5 linked regions of the Nothobranchius furzeri genome follow. The protein of the gene in region 1 purifies or fractionates together with the protein of each later gene. This does not show direct contact. Links are inferred from orthologs where the notes say so. Each region holds a gene or a part of one and is shown in the gene's direction. Other genes may lie near its edges.

Region 1 (6,218 bases):
GGAAGAGGGAGTAGTAGTATCAGGTCAGAGGAGGTGACTAACTGGACCAGAGTGGACTTTTTTTAATGAAAATTATTCTCTTTTTCATTGTTAATCTGTAAAAATTAAGAAGACAAGTACTTATCAAGGCTTTTTCTATGAAAATAATTTTTCTATTGACTCTGTATTTTGTTAAAGTTTCAGGCTTTGGATTACAAACAAATTGACATCACCAGTTTAAATTGAAACATGCAGTTAATAAATTATGTCAAGTCTTACGTGTTTACATGAATATTTTTGTATCATGTAGATTCAAACCACAGGCTTGTGTGCAGAATATAACCAAAATATCATGGGATAACCAAATTGTTCCAGTTCAGAGCAACTGTTCGTTATTCTCCATCTTCAAGCTTCCTCTCTCATTGTTTAATGCAGGGATTATTTTTTTAAAGGGAAAGAGGAAATTCTAAAAGTCAGACAAAGTATAACTGTGCAGTTACCACTCTGGTCAAAATACACTAAGCAAACTGTTTGGCAAGCCAACTTATCATTTAACATTATAGTTCTTTCAAAAATATTCAAATAATGGAATTTTTGAAGTGTTTGTAAAGATTTTATTTGGATTTTATTTTATTTTATCAAGCTATTGTCTATATAAATGTTATTTTATTTTATCACGCTATTGTCTATATAATGTTAAACAACCATTTTTCATATAAGCAGTGAGTTATCATTCTTATCTCAATACTGAATAAAATGGTAAATGATATATATCTGAAACGCATGCTTCTGCCACAAAAAAATTATTCCAAATATCTATAATGTCAGTTTTAATGATGAAGCACTTTTACTTGTACAGCACCTTTCAGAATCAGAGGACCCCAAAGCGCTTTACACCACAGTGTATCATTCATCCATTCACACACTGATGGTGATGAGCTACAATGTAGCCGCAGCTACCCTAAAGCTCGCTGATAGAGGCGAGGGCTCTTTTGAAGACTGCAGCTGTGGCCTTCTGACGCTGGAAGCCACATGAAAGCACCTAATGTGTCCCTGGAAGAATAATGTTGATTGGGCGAAAGTTGTATTCGATGTTTCAATTAGTCTTTTTGGATATGTAGGGATTTCATTTCAAATATTCAGATTCGGTTTAACTAAAAAACAAACAAACTTCCCAAACATTCTTTAAAATGTCTAATAGGGATGCATCAACATGAAAATGTGGGCCGACATCAATATCTGATATTATTATTGCTGTTATGGCCGATAACCCAAATTTATTCACATTACATTCATATAATATTTACACACACACACATGCACGCACACACACACACACTCACATACACTTATGGGATGACCAAACAGATGCAAAATGGACAGCTAGATGGAAATTAATATCAGACTGATACAATATGTTGAAAACTACTAACATTAGCCAAAACGGCTATTGATGCATATTTCTGCATCAATAGTGTTTTAACATTTACTTTTTAATTTAGAATCTCATTAGACTTTGGATTATTATTTTAAATATCTTGGTAACACTTTAAGGGTGTCTCTATTACTAGGGATGCACCAATATCTCTTTTTTCCAAACCGATACTATACCGATACCGATACTTGGATCTGAGTACTCGTCGATGCCGATTACCGATACCGATACTTCCGCCACACAAAAAAATGCAATGGTTTGGAATACAGATTTTATTCTCTGCTTTCAACAGGAAAAGACTGTGAGATAGATAAAAAGTAAAATATATGAACGGAAATCCTCACAAAACTAAAATATTAGGTGAACAGAAATGACAAGTTACAGTGAAGCCATTTTCAAGCAACTGCATTGGTATCGGTTCCTGGTATCGGCTAACTTTTACCTATACCGATACTGCTATTGGTATCGGTGCATCCCTATCTATTGCCGTTATTTACTGCATTATTAAGCATTAATAAACAAAGAATCCCTTCATTAACGTTCGCGAAATTTTAAACTATTAAGTGTCCTTACGGTTAGCACAAAAACCCGGTGGGCTGTGGGATGTCTGCTAAGCATCACTTTATATTAACATTAATATTAAATGGTTGTTACTACTTTATTTAATAGTTTATTTACGCTTAATGTTGCACTAAGTAACGTTAATAAAATGACCCTTATTGCAAAGTGTTATGAACATCTTGAATTTAAATAGGGACATGCGGCATTCCAGCATTTCTTTGGGAAAAGTGTCAGTGTGGTGTGTTTATATGCCACAACGGCCTGCCTTAAGCGAAACACAAGTGACCGCTAGCTTGATGTCAGCCGTGCGGAGACGGCGGCGCTGAGGTAGCAGCAGCGGAAATCTGTCAGAGGGAAGGAGGGGAAGGCTGTGGGAAAAGTGAAAGGGCAGCGGAAGGGACACTGAACGTGACTTTGTCACTTTCAAACCGACCGAAGATTTCTATCGGGTTGTTTTCTCCTCTTTGAAAGACCTCGAAAACATATGCTGGAAGGTTAGCTAGCCGCCGCCGCCATCATCTCCTCAGTCGGAGCTACCGCCGTGTCTTCTACACCATGGGGAATGCTGCCACCGCCAAGAAGGGCAACGAACTGGAGAGCGGTGAGTCCCGGCTTCCGTTATGGCTTCAACCGGATTTTGTTTAGCTCCGTTTTAGGCGTTTCATTAAGCCTTCACAAGTTAGCTACATGTATTTGTTAGATATATAAATAGTAGTAGTCCAGGCTAGGGTACAAGGCTGTCTTGGCATCCAGGGGGAGGGGAGCAGCGCGGAGTGTGTAAACAAGCTAATAAAGCATTTGGGGTAACTGTCAATCTCATGTGTATCAGCGCATTTATAATATAGTGTATAGCGAGTATTTGCATTTTCGCTAGAGCTCCGTTTATCTAGGTTGAATTCAGCTAGCCTGCTAACTTTAGCTTTTATGGTGGGTGGGTGGGGGAGTATCCCACAGAAGGCCCCTCATTCCCTGGCAGTGGCTGTTCAGGCCCTTAAAGTCAGCCCAGTTCTGCTCTCGTTTTCCTGCCAGTCTTTGGATATAGGTTAAAACGCCTAAACCCAACTTGACCCGAACACTCGGGTTAGTGTAACATAAAACTGAGCAAAGTGAGTCTGTGCGTTTGGCTGCAGGCTCCTCTCAGCCCTGCCAGCTGTGTCAGACTAAAACTTTGCAGTGATGCTCTTAAATCTGCAGCGATAAACCAAAGACCCATGCATAATTTGTATAAATAGACATTGCTTTTTATTTTGAAGGCAGAGTAGGACTGGCTCTGCCTCAGGCCTCACTGCCACATTTTATTCTTGGATACATAAACAAAGCCGTCCCTCTCAGCAGAGCACCACAACCAAATATGGAGATGAAATAACAAATTCTCTCTTCCCATTAAAAAAATGGGACCAACTACTGTGTCCAGTATAGGAGCACACACCCTTGTGAAGACAAAACCCCTTAATCGTGGCACTTGTTCTTGGTTAGACCCCCATCTCTATTGGTAAAGTTCCCATCAGATCTTCTCACACTCGGCTCGTCATTGACTGGAGCAGCTTGTCATCGGACCTTCGTCAGAGGATAAGGAGTATTACAAGCTTTGAAAGGTTTGACGTAACTCAGCCTGGGCCAGCGTTACTTTACACTTGCATACTTTGATGTGTGCATCTGATCACTGCTTAACGTCCCCTGATGTGAATCGTAACTTACGTTTTGTGCCTGGATATAAAAACTGCTAAAGTAATGGGGGGTTATTGTGTTTTTTACAGCCACATATTTGAAATTCAAGAAAATGTACAGCTTACTTTGTTTATTTTCCTTCTCTTAAAATCCCAGGAAACCGTTTGTGCTTGTTTGGTCCCAGTGTGCTTAAATGGGTCATTTTATGATGTTGTAATTGTTTTTGTTTGACAGTTATTGGCCCAACGTAAGATGCCAAATACAACAACTCACAAGCCCATGAGGATGATCAGATCAGTGATAGTTTCAGTACTAACCAAGCAGTTGCTTTGGATTCACCTGTGATCCCGAGATCCAGGGTCGTAGCTGACTGTTAAACCTATTTAAGCCGACACCGTGCCCCAAGCTGCAGATTTGTCTGGAGAGTAGCCTCTGTTGACAAGATGACCTGGTTACCTACAGTGCTACATGTTCCCCGTGTTTACTGTGTGTAGATGTCTCAGGCTGGAACGCTTGAAAGAGCACCAGCACAGTCAGGATTAAACACACGCTGTTGTGACACTTATTTATTACACAGCACCCGTGTACTGTGTGTGCACAACAGGGCAGGCTGCATAGCTCAGCCGTGTTCTGCTTGGCTGTATTTTGGCATTGATTCCTGAGATGTTTGTCTACCAGACTATGGAGGCAGTTGATGTTTCCCCCTGGATTACAAAAAAAGTTTGTGGTTAATTTTGAACATTTAAGTGACTTAAAGATAGCACTTTCCCAAAGCAGAAGTTTTATTCTAATATATTCTAGTCACACAATGGTTTTGGCTTCATAAATAGAATTGGTTGCTTTTATAAGTATAAATAGAACATTTGGCATTTTTAGGAAATTGTAAAGGTCAGATATTTACCTCCAAATGACATTTTTTAAAGGTGTGGTTCACTCGTTAAATCAATACATTTACAGTAATCTCTAGTAGGAATGAACACCATGTTAGTTGTACTCTGGGTACAAAAGCTCAGGTGCACCAGTTTCAGGATCTAGAAGATTCCCAGATCAGAGGTGACCTTCAGGCGGCAGGATCTGGAGTCTTACTTCCTGATATTTGGACATCTCACCTCTGATTGGCTAACAGAAACCCAACGCTACCACAGACTCAATTTTCTCTGCAATGTTGATGTTTTATCTCAACAAAAAACACAAGCCTGAATGAATTCTGCTGTGTGGTGGAGTTGCTCATGCTAACGGTTAGCTTCTACTATCTGAGACATTCTCTGCTGTTTCCTGGATGCTAAAAAAACAACAGTCTTCCCCATCGCGAGTCAAGATGGGTGAGTCCGTGACCGTTAAGTGACAGTGTGACGTAGATCTGTCAGGGTTTTCAAATCCTAGTATTTCATCATCTAATTTCTATCAGAAGCGAATGTAGGAGTTAGATGTAGGAGACTATTTTTGTGTTCAGCCTGCATTAAAAACTCAGAGTGACTGGTTATAATCAGAAATTACCATTAAAAATGGGTCTTCAGTGAACCACACCTTTAATGTTAAACACAAAAACAGCTTTTGAGAATCTTGGTTTACAAAATGTTTAAAATTACTACTATTTGATCACTTGCAGTTCTATGACTTAGTGCTTTGAACATAATTTCAAATTCCTAAAATCAAACAAAATTGCAGATTAAAACATATTTTGTAATTAGAGCCTTTTGTAGCACATGATGTTTAATTTTTAAATGTTTTTTTAAAGTCGTATCTGTTCAATCTGACCTAACGTGCATGACTGAACCTCTGGTACATGACATTCTAGTACACCTGTTCTTTCACTATCATAGTATCTGCTTTAATTCCTCAGGCGATTGCTGGTCGTTTTGTCATTGCTGTTCCTTCTATTCATGGCACATACTTGTTTGCTGCTGTTACACTTATTATCTACATGAACTCTGTATTTCTCTCTGTCTTCTCTTCTGTGTCATCCCATCCATGTGGGTGATTGTTCCTGCAAAATCCATGGTCATCTGTAGAGACCTTTGGTATGCAGATTTCTCAAAAAGGCCAACAGAACAGCAGAAATGCGTTGGTTTCATTGCGAAAACCTGCAGGATGTGCTTGCTTTTATTGTGCTTTGATAAACAAATCAGTGATGATATTTGTTTTAATTTATGTTACTTTTTTTTGTTCTTTTTTGTTTTATTGTCTGCACTCTCTCAATCTGGATATCCACGGTCTGCTGTGTTTCTCTTATATTGGTTTGTTTGTTTTTTGCTCTCCATTTTTAAGCTGTGTTTTGTGTAGCCTTCCTAAAAACTGCTTCTGTAAGTGATGCTCAGGGAAACTTGCAGTGTTTTAATGGCGTTTACCCTTTAATTTGGGATGTTCCGATCACTTTATTTTTCCTCCAAGTCTAAGTCTTTTGGTTTGAGTATCTGCTGATACAGAGTCCCGATCCAATACCTCGGCAATGCTATAAAATAAGAAGGCAAAAGAACGACATTTCCTTAATCTGCCTAAAAATATCACTTGTTCAGAAAGTTCATTGATACAATGATGCAACATTTAGAAACAGACTAGTGCACCCAAAAGACAA
Region 2 (5,995 bases), on another chromosome or scaffold:
CTGCGTCCCCACCTCCTGCTCGCCATATGGTTAGTTCTCGTTTTCTTAAAGAGAGCACAGCTAGCAATTTTTCTGCTGCTTTTGATCCACCCTGTTCTTCTGATAACGACCCAGATTCCTTAACTTCTCAGTTTAACGAGCACGGCCTCTCCATTCTGGACAACATCTGTCCTGTCAGAACCAGATCAGGTCCTGCAGTGAACCCTACTCCCTGGTTTAATGACAGCCTTCGCAGCCTGAAGCGCCAATGCAGGAAAATTGAGCGCTTGTGGAAGAAAACCCATCTCCACGTCCATCTGCTGCACCTAAAGGATCTTCTGACATCCTTTAACTCTGCAGTCAGAGACGCTAGGGTTTCCTATTTCTCCACCCTGGTGTCCCAGAGCAAAGGGAACCCCAAGGTGCTGTTTAACACCATCAGCAGCATCGTCTCTCCTGCCTCTCCTACAGCCTCCATCCACTCTGTTGCAGACTGTGAGAACTTTCTGTCTTTCTTTGTGGACAAAGTCAATAAGGTTAGATCTAGCATCTCTCCTTCAGCCTTATCGTTGCCTCTCCCGACTCCAACCAGGCCCATCATCCTAGATAGCTTTGCTCCTGTTTCTTTGCCTGAGTTAACCAAACTAGTTAACTCTATGAAGACCTCTGCATGCCCCCTCCACATCTTACCCTCATCTTTGTTTAAAAGTGCTTTTCAGTCCATCGGTCCCAGCGAGCTTCTCTGGTCTCTGGTCAGGTCCCTGCTTACTTTAAGAACGCTGTAATCCACCCGCTTCTTAAAAAACCGAGTCTCGACCCCTCTCTCCATAGCAGCTTCAGGCCCATCTCTAAACTTCCGTTCATCTCCAAGATCTTGGAAAAGGTTGTGGCTAAACAACTCACAGCTGCTCTTGGTGAACATAACATCTATGATAGCTTCCAGTCAGGTTTTCGTAGAGCTCATTCTACTGAAACAGCTCTTCTTAGGGTCTCTAATGACCTTCTGACTCACAGTGATGCAGGGGACTGTTCTGTTCTGGTCCTGCTGGACCTGACTGCAGCCTTTGACACTGTTGACCATCACCTGCTACTGGAGAGGCTGAGAGACTGGGTAGGCCTATCAGGATCTGCTCTGGAGTGGTTCTCCTCTTATCTCTCTGAGCGCTCCTTTTCTGTGGCCGTCTCCAAGTTTAGGTCCTCCACCACCTCTCTTACCCATGGTGTCCCACAAGGTTCTGTGCTGGGGCCTCTACTCTTCCCCCTCTATCTGCTTCCTCTTCAGCACATCCTGAGCTCCTTCAAAGGAATCTCCTACCATCTTTATGCAGATGACATCCAACTGTACATCTCCTTTAAGCCCCATGAGATGTCTAAGCTGCAGCTGTTACACACCTGCTTAGACTCTATCAAAACCTGGATGGCTGGGAGCTTTCTTCAGCTGAATGAAGATAAGACTGAGATCCTCATCTGTGCCCCAGACAAGCTGCTTCCCAAAGTCAGAGACTCTCTTGGTCAGCTTGCTTCCCACACCAAACCCTCTGTCAGGAATCTTGGCGTGACCTTTGACCCAGCTCTCACCCTGGATTCTCATGTCAGTTCTCTTGTTGGCTCTTCCTTCTTCCATCTCAGGAACGTTGCTAAGCTGAGTCCCATTCTGTCCCGCTCTGAACTTGAGACAGTCCTCCACACCTTCATCTCCTCACGCTTAGACTACTGTAACTCTCTTTTCACGTGTCTGAGCAGAACCTCCCTGAACCGTCTACAGGTGGTTCAGAATGCCTGTGCTCGGCTTCTGACCAAGTCCTCCAAACACACCCACATCACCCCGCTTCTCCTCCAGCTTCACTGGCTGCCAGTCAACTTCAGGGTTCATTTCAAGATCCTGGTTCTGGTCTATAGGGCCTTACATGGACAAGCACCATCTTACATTGGTGATCTTCTTAGTCCCTACACCCCCAGCAGGTCCCTGAGGTCCAGTGACCAAAGCCTACTGGTTGTGCAGCACCAGGCTAAAGGTCAAAGGTGACAGATCATCTGCTGCTTTGGCCCCCAGACTCTGGACCTCTCTCCCCCTGAGCCTGAGATCAGTGGACTCAGTGGTCTCCTTTAAAAAGCAGCTGAAGACTCACTTGTTCAAGCTGGCTTTTGTATGACCTTCCTCACCTCTCTCTTTATTCTGCTCTCTCCACCTATTCCACCTTCCTCAGGATCCACTGGTTTCCCTCCTTCCTGTTCACTCTCTCTCTTTCTTAACATTTTTTCTTTTAAATCCCAATTACCTATTTTTGCTCATTTTAAATATATTTTTAAACATTTTCTAAATGCTTTTTTATACTTTTACATTTTTTGTGTGTTTTTGTGAAGCGCCTCGTGATTTTTTATCTTGAGAGGCGCTATAGAAATTATATTTTCTTCTTCTTCTATTTTATGTTGCTTTGTTTAAAAAAAGTCCCACTTCTGCCCACCAGGGGCGACACCGCACCTTTGAGTTAAGTTAAAAACCTAAAAGAAGAAGAGGATGAAGAAGTAGTAGTTGTGTGTTTTTATAGACCTGCGTGGGTCGATCAGCACGTGGAGAGAGGAGTTTGACTTTGTACAGGACTTTTGTTGAAAAGCTTTTCCTTCCTGGCTCGAAGTCGTCGTGGCGGCGCAGAAGAAGGTAAATGAAACAGCGCGATCTCCCAGACTAGCATGCACCCTTGTGCCACCGACTTTTGGCGTTCTCTAAGCAGACAGCCTTTCATCTCCGACTAAATACACACCATTGACATTTCTGGGCACGCTTAGGATGTATCAGGTGTGTGCACTGAAAGTAAGTGCTCGTTCAATGCCATCGTGTCATTGAACGAGCACTTTTGCCCAGTTTTGGGCTGTGCAGCCAGGTCTGCCCCTGTGGTGTCATTCAAGCAGCCGCATGTACGTGTCCTCAGCGGGCACGGATGCGAACGATCACCGTAACAAGCACACCAGAGCTTTTATATCCCAGTAGAAGTGTCGGCTGTCGGCCAGTCAGCGCCGTTGGCTGCGGTGTTAGCATCGCAGGTCAGTAAGCTAGCAGCAGGGCTGAGGCCCGCTCGCAGCAGAACGTCCTTTAACCCGCTTCGACCCAACACACGTGTCCTCCACGGCGCCGCTGCGGCCTAGCCCGGCTCTCAGTTGGTAAAGCAAAACAAAAATGTCCAATATTTAGTCAACGTGTGTCACGTAGATCCTCTCGTTAGTAGGGCCTGACGTTATTAAGTAAAGCGCGAGGACAGATTTCATACAACTTATCCTCTGGTGAGTGAACGAGCCAGCTGTCCCGGTGGGATTAACGAGCTGTCCCTAAAATTCCTGAAAACTTCACGTTTTCCGTCAATCTAGTAAGACGACCCGAGGCCAGCAGGATTATGTTCAAACAGACGGACTGTTCTTTAGCGTCAGCTAGCCGTGAAGCTAAGTCGCTGCTGGGAGTCTCATACATGTAGGCTGTGTCCTACGTGAGAGGAAGGCACCTACAGAGGTGGCTTCTGAGAGCGAGTCTGCGTGTCAGTCCGCAGGAAAGGACCTGGCAGGGACGTGTTTCCACACACACACACACGCACACGCACGCACGATGACCTTAACGGTTCTCTGTGCCACAGTCGGGTGAGAACCACCCAGGGTCATGCAGACGTCCAAGACCAGCGTGCGTCACTTTCACTTGGGTTCAGGGTGTAATGGTGTGTGTTAGGGCTGTGCACGTTCCTAGCCAAGTTCACAATCCAGCAGACACGTGTTGCATGTTTTCTAACACCTTAGAGTGAACGCTGCTGTCCCAGGTGAGTGGTGTGGGATACTCCAAACAAGAAGTACTTTAGTTTCTGAAGCTAAAGTTTAGTCAAAGTTGGTCAGGAAGACAGTTAAAGTCGATTTTATCCTGAAATAACTGATGTAAAAATCAGCTAATGTCACTTCTCTACGAGCAGCAGTCAGACCGACGATGTGGGCTAGTCTGTCAGATGTCTGAGCATTAAGACTCTGCTACGGAGCTCCAGCGAGTCCCTCGGGTCGCCGGGGAGACCTGTTTGCTGACCTGGCTGTAGGTTTGCCACCTAGGTGGTTTCTGTTACCAGAAAGTCTTTGTGACGCCTTTCTCTGCTCATCTGTCCCTGTTTTTAATTTCAGGTGTGCCCCCTGATCTCTTGAGAACATGCTGCTGAGGTTCCGCTCCGTGGTTCCCTACACGCTGCCCGGTGTACTCGCACTCATCGGCTGGTGGTGGTACGCCTCGCGTAAGAAAGAGCGTCTAATCAGCGATGAAAGTTCAGAGGGGCCCCCGAGCGCGGACACATCTCACCTGGAGGGTAGAAACGGCGTGGATGAAAACGGGACTGCCACACCTCCACGTGAAGTGGACTTCTACGGACCTCCGAGTCTAAACCACCAGAGAACACCACATGAAATACTTTCTCCCATCCACACCCAGGATGTTGAAGCAGCACATTCCCTGGTTCAAAGTTCTGATGATCCTGACCCACTGAGTGGCAGACTAATAGCAGAGGACATCTTTACACCCACAGGTCCCACTTCGCCATCACATGAGGAAGATGTGACAGGAAGTTCGTTGAAACCCCCTGGAAGGGACTTCTTAATAGTTTCAGACGGGGAGTTTCATTCAGAGGTGGCTCCGGGGGCCTCGAGCGAGGACGCCATCACGTCTCACCGTGCTACCAAAGTCACCCGTTCGTCCTCTGTGACACGCCTCTCTGGTGCAGAAAGACCAGAGCCAGAGGGTGAAGTTGCTATGCATCAGAGCTCTGTTAACACTCAAGATGAGATTGTTTGTGCACTTACCCTAGCCAAAACACCAAGGGTCCTCCCATCAGAGGCAGACTCTCTGGAGACGTGTCTGTCAGCGGATGTACACAAACTGATACTAACCAGTACACCCACTTCTCTCACCTTCACAGTCCAGGATCCCACCAGCATGCTGGTGACCTCAGAGGACATCCGTATCAAGAGCAGCACTCAAGAAGAGCCGAATCTGGAGCTCCTGGCAGCTGGACTCATCACTGAGGTCATCTCAGCAGCCACCCAGGAAGTGCTCGGTGTCACCAAGGTGTCACCCGGTGGCAGCTCACCCGCGGTCAGAGGACAGCTTTGCTCTCTAGAGGAGCCGGTCGCAGGAACACAGCAGCACGGTTGTCACCCGAGAAGCCTTGTGCAGGGAGGCCCTGAGTGCCGAGAGGCAGCAGATGTCCAGGGAGTGCCAAATGGTGGCTCCATGACTCCAGCACGGGCAGCTGCTGAGGCCAGCAACGGGGTTTGTAAAACAAATGTCTCGTGGCCGCCGCCGCCGCCGCATCAGGCCTCTCCAGGTCTAAACGTGAAACGTAGAGGCGACGAGGGGACCGTCCTGACCGAAGACTCTGCCTGCAGCACCTGCCACTCTGAGGACGGCGTTAGCCTGGAGGAGCTGCAGAGCGGCGTGTTGGAAAACCAAACGGACGTCCTTCAAGTTACAGACTTGTCGTTGGAAGCCGTGCAGCCGCTGTCGTTGGTGGAGGCCGGCCCAGCAGCCCCAGAGGAGAGCTCTGTGGATGCTGCAGGTGTCCTAAAGAGACTTAACGGGATTGGCTCAAGAAACGGGGCTCATGGGACATGTGAGGTGGACACCGATCAGTCTGGAGGTGAGGCTCGTCCTATGCTAACGGTGAGGGTGTGTGTCCTAGCAGCCTGCTTTAATGTGCTAAAGACGTGGGTCTGCTCTGGAAGTGATCGTACTGAATGTGTTAATCGGGCGACTATGGGCCCAGGTTCTGATCTAGAAGCTTCTGATCTTGTCTGACCCATAACTTCAGAGGGTTTTGCAGCCGGTTTCCTTTTCCGTCTCATCGGGCTTTAGCTGGGGCTTCATAACCCGACGCCCCTCAGGCGGTGGCGGACGTGGTTGTGAAACCTTCTCTTTGCTGGAGGTGACTAGTAGCTGGAGAAAGGGTCGAGGTGGACTGAAGCAGCTGTTGGACACACGGGGCTTCAGAAACGTTACCATGTC
Region 3 (5,451 bases), about 8.3 Mb from region 1:
ACTATTAAAAGTTCAGAATAGGTAAGAAAGAAATCACTTCATAACTGTGGAGATTAAATCACTCACTATAGGGCTGAATGATTTTAGGAAAAGATTGAATTGCAATTTTTCTTGCAGAAATTGCGATTTCGGTTCAATTCACGATTTTCTGCAAACAAAGGTCCAACACTAGCCTGCCAAGCCATCCTATAGATTAAGTGAAAAGATGGTCTAGATTCTAATCTAGTACAACAAATCATTCACATTAATATTTACTATTTAGTCATACAATAAAAACAGTTAAAGCTATTCATATTTTCTCCCATAATTATATTTATTTAAATTTGTAATGTGTTTGTGAAGCAACATGTGCTTGTGATTTTTATCTAGAGAGGAGCTTTATAAAAACATGTTCTACTCCAAAAATGCATGGAGGAAATCTGTAGGTAGAAATAGCTTTTAAATGTATTAAATAAAAAAAATGCACACAGTTTTCCCTGCATTTCCAAGGCAGGCTGGCTGCACGTTTTTCGAAGCCGTCTGATAGTTTTTCCTCACTAAAATGTCAGTTCTGTGAGAGAGACGAACACATTCTGACACCTTAGCTTGTTTGAACCAACATATGCCATCAGAAACATTCAAACCATTTTAAAAGAGAAGTTTAGCTTTCAAGTCAACTAAAGTGCGCGACTCTGCAGTCACACTGATGAAGCATAAACCAGCTTTAGAAACCAGCCTGAACCTGCTCCGATGTGATGAGTCTCTCTCTCTCCCTTACTCAACTACGTTTTCTCTCTCTCTCTGTCCCGGGCTCACCTATGGTGCCATTATAATCACCATTAGCATCACTGTGTGTGGGAACATAAAACAGGGAAAATAACCTAAACATGCTGCTCTGTCAGCTGTTGAGTTGGGCTCGGCTCTGGACGGTACACCCCACCCCCTTCCCCCGCGCTGGCTTTTGCCGACCGCCATAACACAGGGGGAAACCCCAGATGTAATAAATAAATAAATAAATAAAGTTGCACAACTGATCCTGGATCAGTCTAAACCACAAAAACCGCATATCTGACGGTCACGTGATTGTGCTGTTTGAAATCGCAATTTCGGTCCAAAAACGATAGATCGTTCAGCCCTAACTCACTAGCTACCCAGAGAGAGTAGGGTTTGTGTTTACAGTCCAGGGGGATCCTGATTCGACACTATCTGATTGGGGAGGAGCAGGGCACGATGCCATAAATTTGTTCAATCCAGCCAATTGCATAATTTGGTCAAAAGCTCCAAAATGTGGATTTTGCATGATATAGTTTCTTTAAAATCTTTACTTCTGCATCCACCTCATAAAAATATATAAAAATATCTAAATGTAAAACATTTAGTTAGATTTATGTTGGTTAAGATTCCCTTCTTGTCTGCTTTGCTACTGGCCATTCAATGTATATTTTTTGTATTTGGGTACCTGTATACATGCATTTGATCTGTCTTCTACTTTATTCACAGTTATGCTACAACCATTTGACTATGACCCCAATGAGAAAAGTAAACACAAATTTATGGTGCTGACCATTTTTGCCCCACCAAATGTTACTGACATGGACTCTTTGGTAAGTGATTTATATTACTTTGAAAATAAATATACATAATTGTATGCAACCTGTTTAAACTTTTGATTTCTGAAACGCTCATTTTAAAGTCTTGAAACTACTGGATTTCACTGCAGATTTAATCTATAAATATATCTATATTAGCTATAAATATATCTATATTAGCTATAAATATATCTATATTAGCTATAAATATATCTATATTAGGGATGTGATGGTACATGTATTGAAATCTTTTTGGTCCAGAGTGTTTGGTTCAGCAACGTTCTTCGAAAGGCCCAACCTACCCTATCTACGTTGGCTGGTGTTGGCAGTAGACACCGGGTTCTCCGTTGACTGCGAGGACCGAAAGTGAATGCCGTAAATTTAAGATTTACTGACTGTAGTGTATGTATGTTGCTTAGCAACCATGAAGATATTAATGACTCCACCAGGCGGGCTACTTTTGTGTGTAGCAAGAGTGAGTTTTCTAAAGCCGGAGCAATCATAACTGACAATAAATCGACCCGTTTAACAGGCAATGTCAGCAAATTAATATTTCTATTAAAGGCACAAAGACTTAACATGAACCAGTTTCTTGGACAAAATTAATGACAAGTAAAGTTTTATTTTAAATGTTGTTTTGACTTTAAATATTTTAAAGGTGAGGAACACTGAAAAAACATTTTTAAAGTCATATTTCTGATTATTATCAGTCACCCTGAGTTTTTAATACAAGCTGAATGTAGTCTTCTACACCTATCTCTTGTGTTAGCTTCTGATAGAAAATAAACGGTGAAACTCTAGAAATCCTGACAGATCTTTGTCGCATTGTCCCTTCACGTTCATGGACTCACCTATCTTCACTTGCGATGGGGAAGGCTGTTTTTGGTTTAGCGTCCAGGAAACTGAGAACATCTTGGCTGGTCGAAGCTAACCATTAGCTTTAGCAACTCACCCACACAGCAGAACTCCTCCAGGCTTGTGGTATTTGTGGAAATAGAACAGCAACTTTGCAAGTTATGAGTGCATTGTTGCACCGTGTGTGTGTGTGTGAGGGGTTGTATGAACTAGTCGCTGTTACGTGATAATGAGTGACAAGATGCAGTCCTCGGAAAAGACAGCAGGTGACGAGCCCCTGCGCATCAGGAGGCAACGCGCTGTGCCAGAGCGTCGGTACTGACACCCGCCGTAAAACAGACATTTAACCAAATTGTGACCTTTACCCTCTTGCAATTTAACCTTTCCCTCACCCCCATCCTAACCTTAACCAGCTTGTGCATGCAAAGCTCTGATCGTTGACGCGCTCCAGACATCTGCGTCCTGAGCACGGCCACAGTAACATTATCAAACTAGGTGTCGCCACCTCAAAAACAAATTTAACACGCGATCGTTCATGTCGGCTCATTTCCTTTTATGTGTTCTGTCTTTTATTTGTGCCTGATGCTTTTCGCTGCTGTGGAGCGGGGCGTATCACCTGTTTCGTCCTCCGCTGACGCACCTCACTGATGCGGCCGGCGAGCAGCGCACACTCCGCTGATTTTGCGGCCGGTAGATCTTTTAGAACTGCAGTTCAAAGGTGAATATATATGAACCCAGGTAGCAGTTTTTCTTTAGGATTGAGAGGAGATGCAGGAAGATAATAAACAGACAGGACAGAAATATAGTCAAATAAAAACAAGTTTGTTTTTGTACCTGGTAGCAACAAACAGACACCATTGAAGGTAATCAGAAGTGAGGAACAGAAAATGAAATAATTATTTTAATGTTTAGAGCAGCAGGAACTCTGAGAGGCTGCAGGCGCATCAGTGAGTTTGTGGCCGCTGCGCAGCGGGAGGTGGGAGAGCTGAAGCAGAGCAGTAAAGATGCAGAAACTACCGTTGTTAAAGGAGATGTGTTTAACTTTGAAAATGTGGGCGCAATTTTACAGCATCTGTCTGCATTCCTTCCATCGTGGGGGTTGTTGTTAGCAGCTCAAGGCTGCCTTGGCGTCAGATTTGGATAACAAGACTTTGTTTGGGTCAGGCAGAGATAATTTTCCTCTCTGCCTTGAAGTCTGTATTGATCATTCCAGTCCTCCAGTGAAGCCAATTTCAGGTTTTAAACATCTCCACACCGTCCAGCGACCCTCTCCGAGATGACATCCATTTGGCGCACTAATACCGGCAACGCAGCAAGGACATTGTCCCGCTTACGGTTCACCTCGAGTAACGTCCCAGTCTGTGAGGCATCCGCCCGGGCGGTGCTTTCCATGGGTGCGGGTCGCACTCCAATCGCTCCCGACTTCCCAAATTTCCAGAATACCAGATATCCTCCTACTCCAATCAGAAGAAATCCAGTGATTATCCAGCCAAATATCCACATGTCTTCAACATCCTCAATGGACAACTGAGAGAGACATACGATCCTCCAGACCTGCCAGGAATCGAGCGCATATCCCGCTGCGTGTGTCCCTTGAGGGCAAGTGGGAGCCCCCTCCTCCGTTCTCATCGTGGAAAAGATCTTATCAATCACGTTGAATGACCAATTAATTAAATCCATTTCTAAAAAATAGGGATTTCCAGAAGAAATGCAGAGAAGTGCTCTGTAGGCAGACAGGACAAAGAGCCTTGGGGAAAAAAAGATAAGGGAGCAAAAAGCAGAAGTGTCTGCACTCTGCTATTTTTGACTTTTCTGAGCCTGTCAAGTCCTTCTTTTGACCCATTTTGCCAAAGGAAATGTAGTTGCCTAATAATTATGCACACCTGATATAGGCTGTTAATGTCATTAGACACCACACCCCTTCTCATTACAGAGATGCACATCACCTAATATGCTTAATTGGTAGTAGGCTTTTGAGCCTATACAGCTTGGAGTAAGACAACATGCATGAAGAGGATGATGTGGACAAAATACTCATTTGCCTAATAATTCTGCACTCCCTGTAGAGACAGCTGACACAAGAGGGGGTGGTTGTTTTGCTGTTTCTTTTCAGGACTCTTGTGATGTTCCTCGATAATACAAAATGGTACAAAAGGGCCAAAATGCTGACAAACTATTTTGGTTGTCATATATATTTTCTAAGCTATGTATTATGGCCCATATTATTTTAGGTGTATTCACCCTTTGTCCGCCAGAGGGCAGCAAAAGCTTTGCAACAATTAAATAAAGAAGATCTTGTAGTTTTCTCTGAACTGCTTTATGACAACTAAATATTCTGCAGTTGTTCTGTTTTAATTGACTTGTATAAATTAAACTTCCATATAATCATTTAACTACTATAAAGCTGTTTTTGTAGTAAAGTCAGATCTTCTGTGGGTTTGAGTTGATGATTAACTGCATCGTTTTCACTTATTTTTTTTCCATTTCTACCAGTGGAGAGACGCAAAATCTGATGAACTCATGGATTCCAAACTGAGATGTGTCTTTGAGCTGCCTTCTGAAAATGATAAAGTGGTAAGAGGCGAAAAAACCCATCCATCCGTCTGTCCGTCCGTCCGTCCGTCCGTCCGTCCGTCCGTCCATCCATCTTCATCGTCATCTGCTTATCTGGAGTAGAGTCGCAGGTGCAGTAGCCTAAGTCGAGAGGCCCAGACTTCCCTCTCCCCAGCCACTTGGGCCAGCTCCTCCGGGGAAATACCAAGGCGGTCCCTGGCCAGGTGGGCGACATAGTCCCTCCAACGTGTCTTGGGTCTACCTTTAGGCCTCCTCCCAGTTGGACGTGCCTGGAAATCCTCACCAGGGAGGCGTCCAGGAGGCATCCTGACCAGAGGAGCCAGTTGAGATGACTTGGGCATCTGGTTAGGATGCCTCCCTGGTGAGGTTTTCCGAGCACGTTCAACTGGTTGGAGATCCAAGGGAAGACCCAGGACACCAGCGAGGGACTATGTTTCTTGGCTGGCCAGGGAAC
Region 4 (5,970 bases), on another chromosome or scaffold:
TGCTTCTGATGCTACTACCCCAACAGACGATGGCTGAAGAGATTACACTCTCAACAACAGACTTGTAGAAGATGTGCAGCATCTTGCTACAGACATTGAAGGACTTAAGCGTCCTAAAGAAGTGCAGTCTGCTGTGTCCCTTCTTGTAAACGGCGTCGCTGTTCTTTATCCAGTCCAGTCTGTTGTCCAGGTGAACTCCAAGGTATTTGTATTCCTCAACCATCTCCACTTCTTCTCCCATGATGGAAACAGTGTTTGACTCCACCCTGTTTCTTCTGAAGTCTAAAATCTTCTCCTTTGTTTTGTTCACGTTCAAGGTCAGATGATTGTTTCCACACCATGCCACAAAGCGCTCCACCAGCTCTCTGTACTCAGCTTCCTGTCCATCTCTGATACACCCGACAACGGCTGAGTCATCTGAGTATTTCTGTAGATGACAGGTCTCTGATTTGTACTGGAAGTCTGAGGTGTACAGGGTGAAAAGGAATGGTGAGAGTACAGTCCCCTGTGGTGCTCCAATGTTACTGATCGCCTGGTTTGATGTGCAGTTCTTCAGTCTCTCAAACTGTGGTCTGTTTATCAGGTAGTCTTTAATCCAGGCGATAGTTGAGGCCCCCACCTGTGTCTTCTGGAGTTTCTGGCAAAGTACATCAGGCTGAATTGTGTTAAATGCACTGGAGAAGTCAAAGAACATGACCCTCACAGTGCTGCCTGCTTTGTCCAGATGACAGTGGGTTGGTTGAAGCAGCTGGATGATGGCATCTTCAACTCCAACTCCATGGCGATAAGCAAACTGCAGCGGGTCCTGACATGTTCTAGTTTGCTTATTCAGGTGGACCAACAGGAGTCTCTCCAGGACATTCATGATGTGGGATGTCAGGGCAACCGGTCTGTAGTCGTCATTGACTGATGGGCGAGTTTTCTTTGGAATTGGAACAAGGCAGGATGTCTTCCACAGGACTGGAACCTTCTCCTGGGCCAGGCTGAGGTTGAAGAGGTTCTGCAGAATCCCACAGAGCTGCTCTGCACAGGCCTTCGGGTCTTTGTTGGCCTATGGCAGGTCTTTATGAGCAGGAAACATCTTTAAAATGAAAAAGCTTAGAATTGCAATGAAAACTCAACTGGGACAGCTCTGGCAACCTCTCTTCCCATTACCATAGAAACTGGGCAGATTAAAAATCATTCAGACTTCAGATATTACAGGAAAATGTATTAAATTAGCTTTCAAATCTGTTTATGATATTGTTACCAAACTGCCTGTATGTCGATGCCTTGAGTGATTTTTCCATGCACAGTTATATATTTGTTTCCCAGTCTTAAGTCTGAGGAAAGGGTATTTCCACAACTGCAACGCAAAGCGAGCTGGAAAGCCTCGAGAGGGTGGCCAAGTTATCGTCTTAATCAGCGAACAGTGATGCTGGTTGCAGTGAAGATGAAAGGAACCAAGATGATAAATGGGTAGAAAAAGATGTGGAAATTGTGATTGCAGAGATGATGACAGAAAGAACAAATGTTTTCAGAAAGAACAAACATTTACAGAGCTGAGGATGTACCATTTGATGTTAATAGAGTAGAATAGAATAGAATAGAATAGATTAGAATAACCACTTTATTGTTCCTTAGTGGAAAATGTTGGTATCACTGCAGCAATTACATTTACAAAAAGGAGAGTAAAAAATAGAGTAAGTAAGATTAAAGAGCAAACAAAACAAACAAAAAAAAAACATTTGCAGAAATGCTTAAAATATTTAAAATATTGAATATATACACACTTTAAGAAATTAAATAAAAAAATATCTGATAGACATTCTCCTTTTTAAAATAGATTAATTTAAACATTAGATAAAACAATAAAAAAAGTTAATAGCTCAAATTTGTTATAAAAATATTTTTTTGTAGAATCTAAACTAGGTGGGTTCAAAGGTCTAAAATAATGTGGCCATTGTTGTTGTTATTATTATTATTATTTTGATCTTTTTATTTTTATAAACGTAACTCACAGGTTTGTGCTATGGAAGTGGAAAAAGGTGACATTTCCGGCAGCAAGTGAAGCCGACACCAATGAAATGCCAGGTGGGCGCGGCTTCGTGTGCACATACACTACGTCATCACAGTTGGGTCTCATGTTTACGTGGAAAACATGGCGGCGGACTACAATCAAGATAGGCAGTGATTTCGAGCCAAGCCGAACGAGACACGCTTCAGTCTTCAGCTCTGAGACTTTTGTCGCAGACGTTTCGTATGACGTTCTGTCCCCCTTGTTTCTGCCACAGAGACAGCGGAAATGGAAGACGAGGAGAGGCAAAAGAAGCTCGAGGCCGGCAAAGCTAAGGTATGATTTTAAACATTACCACTTCTGCTCTAAACTTGTAACAGTTAGCTGTCGAGAGCTTGTTTCCTGCGTTTATTATGTCTGTCAGCTGTTTTTAACCCCCCTCCCCTTCATTCACCCCTCTCAGCTGTCATGCGCCCTGCTTTGACAGCTGAGGAGGGGGGCTAGCAATGCTACTGCTAACCATGGTTTCTTTGTCATGCTGCATTATAAACATTTCTCATATGTGCTTTCCTCTGCCTGGCGTGTAGGCAGGCGATGCTAGGTTAAACAGCCACAGCTCGAGCCGTCGCATCGTTATTTAGGGCTTATAAGCGCCGCCTAAAGCGACTCTGACAGGCTGGTGTAACTGGATTTACAGGGCATATCCTCACTAGCAGGAAAAGAGGCACCGCATCACATTCTTGACGTTACCTTGACCTTAACAGCAAGGATTACGGACAAACATGTCAGAGTAACGCACATTTTCTTAAGGGACTGCAACTCGTTTATACAAAAAGAATGAACTGTTTAACATCTTATGTCGGTGACTAAATCTGGAGTTCCTCAGGTCAATAGGACAGATACATTTCATGTCAGCTGTATAATTTGATGCATCTTTATTACACAAATAAATAAAATGTGGTTTTCAAGATGTGGCTGAGTCAAAAAGTGTGTCACAGCCTTGTGATCACAGCTTGCATAGCATATCTCAACCTATAAGATTACAAAATTGTTGCTCTTGTATTTTGAGAATTTAGATGTTGAATTATCTGTTAGATGCCCCTACGATCCTACTGAGGAATGACTATTTCAGATAATGATTGAATGATCTACTATTATACTATAGACTTACGCGTCTTTGGGTGTCTAGAAAAGCGATATATAAGTTCAAATAAATGCATTATTATTATTATTATTATTTTAGACGGGAAAAAAACAAGGGTTTCCATTCTGATGCTGCAGGGAATGCTCTTCAGAGGTTTTCTTAGCCCAGTTTCAGATCATATAAAAGACCATCTCCTCAGCTGTTATTTTTGGAAGTATAAAGGCTCCTCATTGCTTCAGGCTGGTATGGCTGCTGCTTTTCTGGCACCGTGTTATGCCACCATGTCCTCACATGCAGCAAAATAAATAAATAAATAAATCCAGGGCAATATTACTTTGATAATAGTTTATAATAATTATGAGGCCTTGAAGGTTTAGCTTGAATGAAAGAAGAATATGATGAGGGCGGTCTTTTTTTAAACTAATCAAAATGATGTTGCAACACTTGATTTGAGTGATACTTAGTGGGTACAAAATGACATTTTCAGTGCAACGTTTGTGCCTTTCTCTTACAATCAGTAGCAAAGACGATGGGAGGATTGCTTTGAGTGAAATGAATGATGAAGAGTGAGCTGTCAGTCATCTGTTGTTCAGCACCAGGCAAGAGCATTCTGAATCTCACCAGACAAAAGCAAAGTAAAATCTGTGCGCAGGCATTGCTAGACTATTGTTTCCAGTTACGCATTTGTCTTGTAGTCTTTTATGTTTTCTTTGAAAGCTACAGAAATATTGACAAGTGTGCCACTATCGGATAAGTTATTTAATTCATTCAATAACAATTAATTCTTCAATTATACATGAATTAAATTGCAATTTCAAATGGTTTGTTAAACTGTCCATCACACTGGTATGTTTAGCAGCTAATAATCCTTCCAACTAGAGCTGGGCGATGAATCAAAAATGTATCGTTGTCTGTAGGGCTGGGACGACAATCAGTAAATCAATTGATCGTACGATCGATGAAAATGAACTCAATAATTTTCCAGCCTAAATATATCGAGGTTAAGAAATGTTCAACTCTATTATTATTATTATTATTTATCATATTGTTGAAGTGCAGTTTTGGTTGTTGACACTGGATATAGGTCACTGAGTGATGCATCTTTGTGTAGGTTGGCGACATTCATGTTCCTGTAAGAAGCAGTACAACCTCGAGTCATGTGATAACATTCCATTCCATTTTATTTATAAAGCACATTTTCACATGGCCGAGGCCAACCAAAGTGCTGTACAGTAAAAGCATAAAATCAACCCACGGGAAGAAGTAATAAAAAGTAGTACAGTAACTACTATAAAAACAATAAAAATAAAAAAACATCGTAAAATGGCAACTAGGCTGAAGTAGAAGCTAAGGAATAAAAATGAGCCTTCAGACGTGATTTAAAATCAGAGGGGGGGGGGGGGGGGGCATTCTCACTGCTAGGGGGAGTTGGTTCCAGAGACGAGGCGCACAGATTGAGAACGCTCGCTCTCCTCACATCCTCACCCGAACACTTGGGACCTGTAACAGGCGGTGGTCTGCTGATTGAAGAATTCGACCAGGTACGTAAGGCTGAACCAGCTGAGTCAAGTAGAGAGGCGCATAAAGATAGAGTGACTTAAAACCGAGAAGTAAAATTTTAAACTAAATGCGGTAGCGCACCGGAAGCCAGTGCAGCTGGGTCAGAACAGGAGTAATTCCAGCCTGGCACCGTGGGTTTGATTCCAGCTCCTGCCAGGGGTATTCTGCTGTTGTGTCCTTGGGCAAGACACTTCACCCAACTTGCCTGTGTTGGTGGTGGTCAGAGGGGCCGATGGTGCCAAATGGCAGCCTCGCCTCTGTCAGACCACCCCAGGGCGGCTGTGGCTACAAAGTAGCTTACCATCACTAGCAGTGTCTGAATGTGACAGTGCACAAAAGCGTCTTTGTGTCCTAAACAAGCGCTATATAAGTTTGATGATGATGATGATTATTATTATTACTGAGCTAGGTTCTGTTGAAGGTTTCTTCCTTTTAAAAGAAAGTTTTCCTCTCCACTGTCGCTACATGCTTACTTAGCACAAGGATTCCTGGAAAGTTACTGACACAGGTCAATGACTCGATTCAGTCTGCTGGGTTTTCTTACACAGGAATATTTAACTAATCGGCATAATGAACTGAACTCAATGCACCGAAAAGTCAGTTCAGTTGGAATGTTTACTTTCTAAAAGTGCCTCGAGACGACTCTTGTTGTGATTTGGTGCCATATAAATAAACTGAACTGAACAAACTCAAAGCAGCAGAAAAGTAGGGTGTGTTGAGGTTCACGGAGTCAGAAAAGGTCCGTTCTATTATCAGGCTCACCTGGAGAACAGGTGATCTTCTTAACGTGGACCTGGATAGTTAATCTCTCCAGTGGAGGAGCCCTGCAAGTCTCTGAGAGAACAAAGGACTAACCGGTACAGATTATGCAGCTCATTAATTGGCTTAATAGACACTGTGGTTGTAGAAGTAGTAGAAGTGGTTATTGTATGCAGTGGGAACACCAAATAAATGTTAATCTTTTATCAATATTTGTTGTTTTAAATGAGAATCGAAGGGATAGTAAGTAGTTTTGATGGTGTAGCGGGTGCCCACTATACCTGCACAAGGGCAAAACCCAAAGATGGAGAATTAAGTCCCACACAGCAGTTTTCAGTTGGAGGCATTTGTTGCGAGAACTGAAAGAGAAACGATTCTAGTATAATATGATGTTTCTGTTGCGCATACCACGAAGAGCACAAGTAATGCATTCATATCATAGCAAACAGGAAAACGTGGATTTAATAGCATGAAGTGATCTTTCTGTTTCGATGCTCAACACTTCTTTTGA
Region 5 (5,988 bases), on another chromosome or scaffold:
AATTTTAGGCTTTTAATACACTTAAACAGAAGAGTGAGAAAAAATTCACCCCCCTCAGAGTTGTCATGAGTGTAAACTAGATCATTTAAACCAAAAACATGTTTTGGTACCAAGCTGTAAACATGTTTATTTCTGCTGTGAAATTGGTATTTTTAACATGGGAGTCAATGAGGATTTGCTCGTTTCTGACACCAGCCCCCAGCGGATGAGAGTGGAACTGCAATTTATTTCACTTCTGGGTTTGGCTCAATTTCAGAGCTGCATTGTGGGGGCCTGGTAAATACTTAAGTTTGTAAGAAAAGTCCAACTTTTTTAAACTGTATGGATGATACCCTAAATTAAGTTGTATTTTTACGATATCCTCTCCATTTAAAGCCTTTGTATACTCGCTGACCTCCATCGCGTTGTGTTCGTTTTTTTTATTGCAGAAAAGCATATTTACATTACAAATAAGGCAAGCATGCCAATGTATTCAGATGAGAATCGAACAGTCAGTGAAAAGATCTTTAACAACTGACAGCGCCATAGTCTCCCCCTCCCCTCACGTCAAGAGTCTGTGTCATTCTTGACAGCTCACTTTCTTTTCAAGCTCACATTAATAACATAATTCGGTCAGCATACTTCCATCTACGTTCCATAAACCGTCTCCGTCCCTCACTGACCCCTCACACTGCCGCCATTCTCGTCCACAGCCTCGTCACGTCCCGTATCGACTATAGCAATTCACTTCTTTATGGTCTCCCCAACAAACTCCTTCATAAACTGCAAATGGTCCAGAATTCAGCAGCCCGTATTATCACCAGAACCCCTTCCTTTCACCACATCACCCCGGTTCTCCAGCAGCTTCACTGGCTCCCAGTTAAATTCAGGTCCATCTTCAAAATTCTCCTCCATACCTTCAAAGCAATCCACAACCTCTCTCCTCCATATATCTCAGACTTTATAAGTATTCACACCCCATCCCGTTCACTCAGATCTTCTTCTTCCATCCATCTTGCGGTTCCTTCTGCCCGTCTCGCTACCATGGGTAGCAGAGCTTTCAGCCACTCTGCTCCTCGACTCTGGAACTCACTTACCCCAGACATCAGGAACATCGACAGTTTTACCCTTTTCAAAACAAAACTCAAAACATATGTTTAAATCTGTCTACAACCTCTGATTTTATTGAACTGTTTCTCTCTTTGTTTTTTTCTTGTTTGGGTTTTATTATTGTTTTATTGTATTGTATCACGTGTTTTCTGTCAAGTGACCTTGGGTGTCCTCCTGAAAGGCGCTTTTAAATAAAATGTATTATTATTATTATTATTATTATTATAAAAGGGGGAGGACAAATGCAAGGGACCACTACACAGTTCCAGGAAGTCTACACAACAGTCTATACATATCTTCATAGCTGTTATTATTGATACATTTAAGGGATCTTAGATACAATCTAAAATCATGTACAAATGCATTAAACACAGGGGGTGATTTCAGTATTTTTTGTTTATGTATGAAGAATTTTGCCAGACAGAGAAGTAGATTGTAGCAGAGTTCTTGGTTGTTTGTTTGAAGGAGAGTTCCAAAGGTGATGCCATCTCTTGAAATGGGACATGGGATTCCAATTTGAGGTTGAATCTAGTTTTCAAAACAGTTCTAAAACGTCCGTGTCTTGTTGCATTCAAAGAAAATATGATCAGTTGTTTCAACATCCTTCCCACAAAAGGAACATGAATTATCATCAATGTTAAAACGTTTTCTGAGCACATCTTTTGAGGGATAGACATTGTTTAAAATTTAAAAATGTGTTTCTTTGACTTGCAAAACACTTCTTGCCCCATCCTGAAATTTCGCGCATTGTGACGTCACGATAGTCACGTGAGTAAAACCCAGCAATAGCCAATCATAGGAGAGTCTTTCCAGCCAATCAGAGGCGAGAAAGACGGGACCTTCCTTGGACATCCTACGATTCCAAATGACTCACATGGGGCGTCTGCGTGTGTCAATGGGACGAATCGGGAAGGAACGCGTTCGTGGGCCGTTCGGTTCATTTTCAGGAGCCATTTAAATCGGTCTGAAACAGCTGAACGGTTTGTGGAACGCAATAGAACTAAATATGATGTTAATTTTTCATCTCATCATAAATGTCTGAACTCCAGAAACGGTCTGGGTCCACGAACCTTTGCCAGTTATTCCCGAAATCCGTGTTTGTAGCAAGAGTTCAGATGAGTTCCGAACGAAAAGATCATTCCCGTACCGCACAGCATCCATCGCAGCGGCTCTGTCCAGCGGTTCTGGTGTCCGACAACGAGAGGTGAGTTGAATTTCTACTAAATACCGGGGTACAGTAACAAGAAGGTGGATCCGTTAGTTGTTTGAGCCACCAGCAGCTTCCGGTCTGCCTGCTGTCCACCTACGGCGGAGCTAAACCACCGCGGCGCGGCCTGGGTGAGCTCGTAGCTAGAGCCCAGCTCGGCTGCGGACGGGACTGGTGTCATTTCCTATGTCAGTGATGTTCGTCCGAACCTCTGTTGTCCTTCAGCTAGCATGCTAACTTCGCGTGCCGAGCTCAAGTCCGTGATGTGGGCTTAACGTCTGTCAGCACCAACATCCGGCCTGCTCCTGATCCAGGACCGGGTCCCTGGTCTCCGCTGCAGGACCGGGTTTCCAGCCCAGCTGACTTTCCTAAACGAGAATCTGGTGCAAAAGTTCGCTTATGTCAGTAATTCAACTTGAAAGGTGAAACTAGTGTATGAGACGGACTCATAGATACTTCGGGCCTTGATTTGTCATATCTGTGACGATTCTGGCTTCCAGCTGATGACAAGCCCACATAAACATCTCAGACCATCAGATTCTTGTGGAAAGGTTCACCATTCCAGACTCTGATCAGCTGATAAATCCAGAACACCTGCAGAGGGTTCCTGAGCCTTTAGACGGACTCCTGCTGTGTCATATTTGGCACAGATCATGGTTAAAGCTGCTTTAACACTAACCTGAAGTACATTCTCTATGCTCCTAAATCCAGCTGGTAATTAGAGTTAGGTATTATCCTGGTACACAATAGCACCAATGCACTATTCAGTATGTGTTCAGTACCTCGTACCAGATTTACATAGTATGTCCGTGTCTCTTACAATATGCTGCTCAGTTCTTCATTTTTCTATTTGTGGTTTTTAGTGCTGGAAGGTTCCCATGCTAGATACCTGCCTATGTGTGTATATATACACGTGTACCGTTGTATTATTTCTCTTCAGGCTAAGTGTTGGTGCTGCTGTAACAGGTGGATGTCCCCACTGTGGGATCAGTAGGGTCTATTCTATTCTATTCTAGAATCAGCCACTCTTGTCTGGCCATCAGTCACTTGGAAATGAAAAAGCAGAGATTTTTCCCAGTCCTTGAACTCAGCGTTGCTAATCATAACTGAGAGGTTCTAGCAGTGTGCCTTAGGGCCGGGCTCACTGGGCCAAAACTTAAGTCTCAATATAACGGAGCTGAATTTGCTTAAAACTGTCTTCAGTAATTGTATGTTTAAAATCATCAGCAGATTAAATGCATACCGGTATGTAGCGGGGTGAATATTGTTGCTTTTAAGCTTAATATATTACCTTTACTCATGACCAATAAGCTGTGATATAGGATATAACCTGCTTGGTCTTTGGATGTTTAATCAGAAGATTCTAGGATTCTTTGCTTTTTCAGTGATCAAACACACTTCATCTCAATTCAGACAGATTCAGGTTTATAAAAGATAAGAAATGTATTTTCTAAACAAATTAAAACAAGACAAGTTAAATAGGACGACTGTGATGGTTGAATCTAAATGGATGGAAGGTGAGATGTATGGAGCTAGGATTGGGACAATATTCAGCGTAACTTGTGCCAAGTTTTGTAACTTGGAACATGTTTCATCACATGTAACTTTGGATTCGTAACTTGTAACTTTAGTTTTATAACTTGTAATTCTCAATTTGTACTTGTATTTCTTGTTTTGTAACAAGAACATTGTATTTTGTACATGCATTTTTATTTTGTAAAATCAAACTTTAATTTTGTACATTTACTACTCATTTTGTAACATCAAACATTCATTCAGAAACATGAAACTTTCGTTTTGTAACTAGCAGACTTCCAAATTAAAAAAATCAAGGTACACGTTTGAAATCAAAACTCTCAAAACACACATTTCATTCTACAGGTACAGACCTCAAATCTGTCTCGATTCTAGCGTCAGTGGGAGGAGCTTGGGTGGAACCAATGAGAGCACGAGTCTTGGCTACCAATCACGTTTCTCGAATTCCTGTCCAATCATTGGGAGAGGAGGGCAGGGTTCTGTCAGAGCTGTAGAAAGAGAGTTACAACACTCTTTGAACTCGCGGTCACGTGGTTCATGGAGCTCCCAAACATCACAGCGCCGTAAGTCAGTTTGAACAGCGTATGGTGGGACAATCACAAAAATTTAACCTAATCACATTTCCCCTGGCGATTTGTGGTAATTATTGAATAATATTATATATTATATTAAATATTATGTCCTAACTCCTTCACAAAGTAGCCAATTTATATTTTTCCGAGCATTTGTAGGAAGACAAACACCCATGACTGTTCTACATTACAGGAACACGACAGTCCTAACACACTGTAGAACACATTTAGACCACATACATTACTATAATATATTATAGCAATACATTTGATGTAGTAATGCAACACACTGCTCTAATATAAGCATATTTAATAACTTTAAGTCCTACAAGAATCCCTAAACTCGAGTTGTAATATCCATTTTAAAGTGTTTATTGAATAGAATTCTGCTCCAGCTTACCTTGAAGAAAATATGTATCTGTTTATGCTTTGAATGATATCTATTATGTTCAGTAGAATACATTTTACAATCATTACTTTATATTTTTATGTGAAGACAGTACATGCATCTGTATCCAGTTCTATAGCAACTAATTAAAAATAAATTTTCAATAAAACTGTATGATTCATCACAGTAGATAAAAAGTGTTATTTGTGGAAAAAATGAACACCAAACTTGTACATGTATAATAGCATTTTTAATAAAGCATTTTACCAACATTATGTTTAGTCATTACATATGCACAAATAAGCTGAATCATTAATTATGAGCAATGTACTCAAGACCTAATGAAGCTCTTTTGAGTAACTTTATTTTGATTATTATTAAAATAAAATGTGTCCATGGGTTAAAAATTGAAATGGCTAATTTTATGGTTGGATAAAATTTTTAAATGTAATTTTACATCTCTATATTTTTGGTTTAGTTCAGTATTTCTATATGTACAAAAATAGTATTTTAATAATTGCTTTATAGGTTGATTATCTTACCTTGGTTGGCTGCGCTGCATATAGCAAACAGTCTGAGGGAGGAATCAGAATTATGGCTTACCCAAAGATGCAGAGAGAAGAAGAAAATGGTTGGCTCAAGTCAGCAGGAGCAACCTCACCATGACCAGAGATCACAATAACAAAAAGCTGTGTGCAGTGAGTTTAATGTGCACTCTCACATGTTTTCTATCAAGGCTCTACATGTTCTGCTCTCAACTGCACAAGGCTGCAATTAAACTGTTAAACGTGGCAGGAAATAAACTAATACACCACTCTACAGGCACATTTTGAGGAGGGACAGTTTACTAAGACTAGGCAAGGCAAGGTGAGACTCAGGGCTGATGCTGTGTTTGTTCATCGCCCTGAACCAAGGAGGAGGAAGGACCCCGCAGTGAGAAGTACAGCAGAACCACTGCATGTTGATCCACTGACCAGTGACCACAAGTACTCAAGTAAACTGTGGTACAAATCTTTTGAAATATTAAGACATTTTTATATATTTTATTTTAAAATTATTCTTTATTCTAACAGTGTCATTATAATTTCAGAGAATGAGGAAAGCAGCAGCAGCAGTGAGGCAAATGAGGTGAGGGAAAGTGAGACGGGACATGAGATGGTATCAGGAGAGAGGGACATCCCAGGAAGCCATGAGGA

What was found.
Region 2: the proteins of prkacbb (region 1) and akap1b purify together in Homo sapiens (affinity purification with mass spectrometry; 4 studies listed by BioGRID and IntAct, counting the BioPlex papers as one, with this or other methods). This does not show direct contact. The link is inferred for Nothobranchius furzeri from reciprocal best matches to the Homo sapiens genes PRKACB and AKAP1.
Region 3: the proteins of prkacbb (region 1) and vapal purify together in Homo sapiens (affinity purification with mass spectrometry; 4 studies listed by BioGRID and IntAct, counting the BioPlex papers as one, with this or other methods). This does not show direct contact. The link is inferred for Nothobranchius furzeri from reciprocal best matches to the Homo sapiens genes PRKACB and VAPA.
Region 4: the proteins of prkacbb (region 1) and akap9 purify together in Homo sapiens (affinity purification with mass spectrometry; 5 studies listed by BioGRID and IntAct, counting the BioPlex papers as one, with this or other methods). This does not show direct contact. The link is inferred for Nothobranchius furzeri from reciprocal best matches to the Homo sapiens genes PRKACB and AKAP9.
Region 5: the proteins of prkacbb (region 1) and akap11 purify together in Homo sapiens (affinity purification with mass spectrometry; 5 studies listed by BioGRID and IntAct, counting the BioPlex papers as one, with this or other methods). This does not show direct contact. The link is inferred for Nothobranchius furzeri from reciprocal best matches to the Homo sapiens genes PRKACB and AKAP11.

Annotation. Positions count from the first base shown.
Region 1 is NC_091751.1:51,149,153-51,155,370, forward strand, and holds the start of prkacbb (protein kinase, cAMP-dependent, catalytic, beta b), read left to right. Parts: upstream 1-2,310; 5' UTR 2,311-2,530; coding exon 2,531-2,576; intron 2,577-3,517; exon of another isoform or gene 3,518-3,570; intron 3,571-6,218. UniProt on the Homo sapiens protein: Mediates cAMP-dependent signaling triggered by receptor binding to GPCRs.
Region 2 is NC_091753.1:61,598,985-61,604,979, forward strand, and holds the start of akap1b (A kinase (PRKA) anchor protein 1b), read left to right. Parts: upstream 1-2,460; 5' UTR 2,461-2,638; intron 2,639-3,926; exon of another isoform or gene 3,927-4,039; intron 4,040-4,125; 5' UTR 4,126-4,150; coding exon 4,151-5,630; intron 5,631-5,995.
Region 3 is NC_091751.1:42,881,462-42,886,912, forward strand, and holds part of vapal (VAMP (vesicle-associated membrane protein)-associated protein A, like), read left to right. Parts: intron 1-1,479; coding exon 1,480-1,583; intron 1,584-4,916; coding exon 4,917-4,997; intron 4,998-5,451. UniProt on the Homo sapiens protein: Endoplasmic reticulum (ER)-anchored protein that mediates the formation of contact sites between the ER and endosomes via interaction with FFAT motif-containing proteins such as STARD3 or WDR44.
Region 4 is NC_091759.1:4,645,242-4,651,211, reverse strand, and holds the start of akap9 (A-kinase anchor protein 9), read left to right. Parts: upstream 1-2,118; 5' UTR 2,119-2,284; coding exon 2,285-2,332; intron 2,333-5,970. UniProt on the Homo sapiens protein: Scaffolding protein that assembles several protein kinases and phosphatases on the centrosome and Golgi apparatus. Required to maintain the integrity of the Golgi apparatus. Required for microtubule nucleation at the cis-side of the Golgi apparatus.
Region 5 is NC_091754.1:39,458,863-39,464,850, forward strand, and holds the start of akap11 (A-kinase anchor protein 11), read left to right. Parts: upstream 1-2,149; 5' UTR 2,150-2,293; intron 2,294-5,857; exon of another isoform or gene 5,858-5,988. UniProt on the Homo sapiens protein: Binds to type II regulatory subunits of protein kinase A and anchors/targets them.